2 linked regions of the Canis lupus familiaris genome follow. The protein of the gene in region 2 interacts with the protein of the main gene of each other region in a biochemical or structural test. Links are inferred from orthologs where the notes say so. Each region holds a gene or a part of one and is shown on either strand. Other genes may lie near its edges. The genes, in order: RAB11FIP2 and MYO5B.

What was found.
Region 1: the proteins of MYO5B (region 2) and RAB11FIP2 form a complex in vitro, tested with the Homo sapiens proteins (2 studies listed by BioGRID). The link is inferred for Canis lupus familiaris from reciprocal best matches to the Homo sapiens genes MYO5B and RAB11FIP2.

The regions. Positions count from the first base shown.
Region 1 is NC_049249.1:28,717,138-28,719,926, forward strand, and holds part of RAB11FIP2 (rab11 family-interacting protein 2), read right to left. Parts: intron 2,590-2,789; coding exon 2,362-2,589; 3' UTR 1-2,361. UniProt on the Homo sapiens protein: A Rab11 effector binding preferentially phosphatidylinositol 3,4,5-trisphosphate (PtdInsP3) and phosphatidic acid (PA) and acting in the regulation of the transport of vesicles from the endosomal recycling compartment (ERC) to the plasma membrane.
Region 2 is NC_049228.1:79,032,538-79,036,359, reverse strand, and holds part of MYO5B (unconventional myosin-Vb), read right to left. Parts: intron 3,161-3,822; coding exon 2,949-3,160; intron 1,283-2,948; coding exon 1,126-1,282; intron 1-1,125. UniProt on the Homo sapiens protein: May be involved in vesicular trafficking via its association with the CART complex. The CART complex is necessary for efficient transferrin receptor recycling but not for EGFR degradation.

The sequences.
Region 1 (2,789 bases), on a different chromosome or scaffold from region 2:
AAAACATGTAATACGTTTGACTCTAGGTCATGAGCGGAAGTTCATAAACGTTGCAGAACATTTTCAGGCAGTGACAAGTGCAGATTCAGATTTCAGTACAATTCTTGTCTCAGATTGAAAGATAAAAATATTGATTCAGTTATAACCAAATCATTCACGTCTGATAAATCTAATCCTTAACAGTCTCATCCTGGTGTGGAGCCTCTCCTTAGAAATGAATTTCCTCATAAAAAGAATAGTAGTATTTGAACAATACTTTATAACGAATTCTATTTACATAAAACATATCCCCAATATAAAACTGACATCTTGGTTCATTTTATAAAGAACAAATTTGGCCGAAGCATATTAAAATATCTCCAGATAATCTGTCATAATACTGAAAACGCATGGATATTAGTATTTTAAAAAGTATAAGAAGAGTTTCAGTTATACCAACAGAAAAAAAGTGCTAAGAATTTTGTAATATTTAATAACATATTAACTAAAAATGGCACCCTGTTAGAAAATAATAATTACTAAGACCTCAAATGAGAAAATAGCATTCTAAACCAGATTTTGAGGTTTACTACAGAAATTTATAAATGGAAAAAAAAAGTTGGTAAAAGATGTTTTTCCTTCTCCACTTCATTTAAAAAAATTATTCAATTTTTTGTATTTAGGAAAAGTTCTCAGAATTTCAAAATGTATGCTCTCATAGGAAAACTAAAGAAACTCAGAAAATACAAACGAGCAATTTTAGCTCATGAATATACACTTGGCCAAGTATTATCTGATTCAAAATATTAAAATGAGCAAAACTATTCTGCTTTGTACTGAATTTTCAATAAAGTCTGTGGAGAAAAATATTAGACAAAAATGCAGTTCATTAAAAGCCTGGAGAATACATGTCTCCATATACAGGTGAATTTTTCCATTTAAAACCAGAGACACGGATTCAGTGTTTCATAGTAAGTATTTTAGATTTTTAAGGGAAAAAATAGATGATTAGTAATATTTTCGTACCATTGTTTTCACTTTACATTCCAGGCTAATTCAGTACAAATATATCAAGATAATTCACGCAAGTGCCTGATATTTTGGGGGTGTGGATTTTATAAAAAGAGTGTACATATAATTTTGTAATTAACCAATTCTTAAGGGTGGCCGAAGAATAGTAGATAGTGCCATGCGAGTGAAGTTCTGTTCCAAGAATTCACTCCTCCTTCAATGGCTCTTATTTTGGTTCAAGACCCAAATGCAACCATCTGTTCTATTATTTATGTAACTTGAAACCAAGCCGAATTCTTCATTCCTAAAATTTGCCCATTGCTTTGGGTTATCAGGCATCAGACGATCACCTACTTTTTTTCCCTTAGAATTACTTTCAGATCTAACTTCCTAATATTTTCTTTGCTAGGGATTTAAGGGCATTCAGAATCTCAACAAAACAGACTATATTAGCTTCTCTTCTACTTACACAGAATTCAAGTGTTAAGATAAAAAATTCACTCAAGAAATTCGTACTCTTGTGACACTAGTCAAGTTTCCTATAACATGTCATGCTTTGAAAAAAAAAAAAAACAAAAAAACCCAAAACCCTTTGGATCATTCCTTTGAGAAAAAGAGCAAACATCTGATGCTGGAATAATATATAGGAGCAGCTCATTTTGAAACGAAGATTTGCCAAGTCAAGAGTGATCTGAAGCAGCTTCCCTATAACAAACTGTGCTAGTAGCAATGATGATTTGTTCTGCATCGATAGAGCACACATAGATTTTCAAATTAAGAAACTGGTATCCTAATTTTAGAGGCAATCAGTTGTTTTTAAATGTTCTAAAAACACATGTATCTATGAGGTATATGCATGTATTTTATATACAAAGATACATGAACATACATTCATGTACATATATATGCATATAAAATATGAACTTTTTTTTTTTTTAGTGTTATACTGAACGGTATTCCTGCAGCTAATTATGTCTACAAACGGACTTCTGAGAAACCAGCTACAGCATCAATTCTGCTTTATGAGCTCTATTCCTGAGGAATAATAAGTCACATCCTTCTGAAGCTGTCCCTAGGCCTATGGCAGGTTAGTAGCCCAGTGCCAGCACCTAAGTGAATCCTAAAGAACTGCTTATTCATTGGGAATCTTGCCTGTTTTCACTTTAAATGTTTAAATTGTTTAGCTCACTTCAGAGGTCACTCTTGATGGTCCCTGCTAATATTTACAGGTAAAATAACTTTTTGCAATGGAGTGGAGTATGTAATGAAGCCTGATAATGTAGTTTCTTGCAGTGCCAAGATTTTCTGCTTTCTTTTGCTCTTTCTTCTTTCCTTTTTGCCCCTCATCACACATGTCGTACAACTGGCTTATTAACTGTTGGCGAACTTGCCAGCCTTCCTGGATGGTTCGTATGGCACTCTGAGGATACTGGGTGTTTCCTCCATGACCCTGACGAGGAGATTGTCGATGTAGTCCTCGAGTTCCCGGATGTGCGTGTCTTTCCTCCTGAGGAGCTCCTTGTGCTTCACGAGCTCCTGTAGGACCTCCTCATAGGTCAGACCACGGTACCCTGCAGTGGCATCAAAAGGGTTGCTGTCCTGGAGCAGGAGAAAGATGGGTCATTTTAGGAGACAGAACATGGCAGTGGGGGGCAAGTTAAGAATGATTTTGAACTTCAACTTTTGATTTTTCAAATTATGATCAAGCTTCTTCTGTGCCCTTGCCTAGAACCAAGACAACAGTTCACACCATGGCTGGCCAGTCCTGAGGCAAGAACTAGGGCAGGTGCACCATAGCC
Region 2 (3,822 bases):
GCTCTGAGGTGCAGCCTGGGTTCGCAGTGTGTGCCCCCCACGAGTCACCTACCCCTCCTGAGGACGGTGCGCAGAGGTCACCCACCTCCCAGGCAGGTTCACACACTTGGCCCCAGTGACCCGGGCGTCCCCCCATTATACCTGAGTACTCCCCCCATCTCGTGTGGGACTAGGTTTTGTTTTTCATGCTCCCTTCAGCATTGTTTTTTTTTTTTTTTTTTTTTTTAAAGAAAATCTTACCTTCTCTGATCACAGAAAAATGTTCTTTTTAGGAAAAAAAGTGTTCTGGACGTTTCCTTCCAACCTGTCCCGCACCATAGCTTTGAGCTTTGGTGGTTCAGGGGTGCTGTGGTGGAACGGGGGTGCCCTGACCAGGGCTCCATGCATACTTCAGTGTCCTGGGAATAGTGGCCCGGCAGGGAGGCCAGGTGCCCCCCTTCTGACGTCAGCTGTTCACCCTTCGAGTGGGTGAGGTGAGACCCCGATGCCAACATCTCCCTTGCTCTCATGCCTCACTGAGCCCTGGACAGGTCAGCAGGTGCTGCCCCAACTGGACAAGCGCCCGTGCGGGTGACAGCTTCCCTGGCCCCTCAGCCACCCCAGGGGCACAGCGAAACATGCCCATCCTGCCCGCGAAGGTCACAGTCACCCTGCCTGCAGGTGTCTGTAGAGGAGATGAGCGCTGAATCCCTGGGCTGCCATCCCCAGGGCAGGAGGACATAACCCCCGAGCGCCTGAGGAAGGTTATGCACCCCTTCCCTACCTCATCTCTCCCCCGGTCCTGCCCCGGGTCCAGCATGCACACTGCCCACTCCCCTGGTTCTCGGGCCTTCAGCCTGTGGACAGCAGACAGTGGGACTTCCCAGCCTCTGTCATGGGTGGGCCACTTCCTGAGGGTCTCTGTGTATGTGCATTCACACCCGCACTTCTCCTGTGGGTTCCGTGTCTCTGGAGATACTAACGCACTACAGCTCATGGGACCGTGAAAAGATTCAGTGGGAGCAACGATGTGGAACCCCATAGAAGAGAGTCAGGGGCACCCCGTGACGTTCACGGTGGGGACCGTCTACCCGCCGCTGCTTTAGTCCTCTATCCACATGGGAGGCCCCTGGGGAGGCCACACACCTGCTGGTAGATCCTCCGCACGAACATGCCCCTTGCGAAGGCCTGGATGACAACGGCGGCCCCACGAACCCTCTGGTAGGCCTGGCGGGCCCTCCACATACGGCACTGCTTCTGGAGCACGATGGCAGCCCGTGTCCTCCGCAGGTGCTCAGCCAGCCTGGAAAGGGAGGGGCCCTGCTGATGTGGCCTCGAGGCCCCTGCGAGGCTGGCCTCTCCCTGCAGCCCTGCTGGGACTCTCAGGGCCCAGCTGGCATCAGCCCTCCACACAGCCATGCCATGAGGACTCGCGTGCCAGCCCTGAACGGCTCCAAAAGCTCCCTCCATGTGGTCTGTCTTCCCACAAACCTAAACTCAGTCTGGGTCTGAGCAGCTCCACAATGCCCCTGGGCTCAGTCCCCACTGGGAGCCCCAACTCCAACCTGGGCAGTCCCTGGGGACACCACGAGTTTACGCTCCTGCCCTATGCCCTGTCTCCGGATGTGCAAACCCGGGAGCCAGGTCTCCAACATGCTTGCCTGCGACACCTCAAGAGGGTCGAGCCAACAGGTGCTTGTATGTGTGCTGATGGCATAAACCCTTGCCAGGCCCGCACCCGCCTCCCCCTGCTTCCTCGTCTCCCTGCCCTTTCTGCTGTGACACATGGACACCCAACCTGCCTGCTTCGTGCCAATGTTCCCCTCCGTGCCCCCAGGTGGGATGGCTCAGCCTGACACTTCTCACCCACTTCAGGGCTTTGGGTGGCACCAGGCTCAAAGCGAAAAGGCCCTGGGAAACCATCCAGGAGAGCCTGTGGGGGAAGTGGGGAGGGGCCTGCGGCCCCACCTGCTGGAGTGAACCTGTGCAGTCGAGCACTTTCTCCCCATGCAGCCACCGGAGACACAAACTCCCTCAGGGAGAACATGGACCGACTTGGTTTCAGATTGTCGCCGGCTGCCAGCTAGGGTGAGCTTGCAGGTGCAGGCTGCTCTGCCGGGACCTGCTGGGTGGCTTGACTGTCCACAGCCACCTAGTGCGGATGCTGCTGACAGCTTTTCACCTCTATAGCTTCTGTTCCAGGGGGAGCACCTGGGTGGCTCCGAGGTCACCTCTGGTTCCATTCGGACAAGCAGCTCAGAGCAGGGATGGGAGGGCAGGCAGGGGCCAGCTTCGCGTTTACAGTACAGAGGATGCCTGCTCTGACATGTCACTCACAGGCTTTCTTTTTCCTTCAATATTGCAGCAGATATGACTCGATGGCCACTCCTCCAAGGTAACCCCCTTACGGGGAGAGCAGGTTGTGCGCTGTGGGTAGTCTGACGGGCACCATGCGCCATGTGCCCTCCCAGGGGAGAGGCTCACTCTGCTCTGGTGCCTCATGGGCCCAGGAGATCGGGGAGGAGGGGAAAGGTCTGCCACATGGAGCCGGGTGGGCACCCGGCCCCCACCCACCATGTTTACACAGGTCAGTCCCTAGCTCTGTGCAAGGACGCACAATGGGGACCTGGGGATCCCTGGGACCTTCCCGGCTCTAATTACCAAGTTCCTGAGGGACTGTGGGGGGGTCGGGGCTTAAACCACAATGCTCAGTGGAAGCTGTGAAAGGCGGGGTTTGTCTATCTGAAAGGCTACCCTGGGATTTGGGCAAAGGAAACACGGTGCTTTAGGGGCAAACCCAGCCCATCCCAGGTTAGTGCTGGTGGGATGGGGACAGACTACAGGGACGAAGAGGCTTGGAACTAGACTCAGTCCCCCAGGTGAGAAGTGCACAGGTGACAGGTGCCCAGTCTGCACATCCCCACCCCACACCCCAACCTGCCACCCAGATGGGCCCCAGCGTGGCTCACCTGCGGGCCAGGTGTCCTCGGCAGTACCTCTGCAGCGTTAAGGCCGCTATCTTCAGCCGGCGGTACTTCACCCTCTGAAGCCAGCCCCGGACTGTCTTCTGGATCATGATGGTAGCGGCCCGGAACCTGTCAGCCCGAAGCTTCTCTAGGTAGGCCACCTGGCCGGCCCGGAAGAAAATCTTGGTGCGGCCAAACTGGAACTTGTCAGGATCCTTTAGCAGGCAGGGAGGGGAGCACCAGTGAGGTCACCTGTGCTGCCCCTGTCCTCCTGTGCATGGTTCCCTTGCTAGAGCCCCTTGGATGCTCAGTCCCTCTAGCACCCACCGAGCACACCAAGTTCCCTCCACTAGATTCACGGCTAAGATGTCCGGGGCACAGCTGTGAACGGGACACCTGCCCTCAAGCAGCTGACATCACGGTGAGAGCACAAAAGGCAAAGTTTTCAGGTAGCGGTGAAGATCACGAAGACAGTAAAACTGGGGATGTAAGGGTGGGATGGGATGTTTAAACAGGATAATCATCCAGGAAGGCATTTCTGTGGACATGACATGTGAACAGAAATCTGAATAAACTGAAGGCAGGCAGTCCTAGGAAAACACAGAGGAAGAAAGTTCCAGAAGAGCAGGGAAGGGGCAGGTGTCCTGTGCCAGCCGAGAGCTACATATGTTTGCAGAGCAGGAGAGCCTGGTTCAGGGCAGGGGCGGGGTCGGCAGGGGGACTCAGCAGGGGTCCTGCAGCACACAACGGGACAGGAGGCCCCTGGTCACGCTCTGAGCATAGAAATGACCTCCTCGGGTCCTCTCAAAAAGATTTACCCTCAAATCACCACGCTGGTGCCTGCGTGACTCCAGATTGTAATGCTCCAAATAACTTT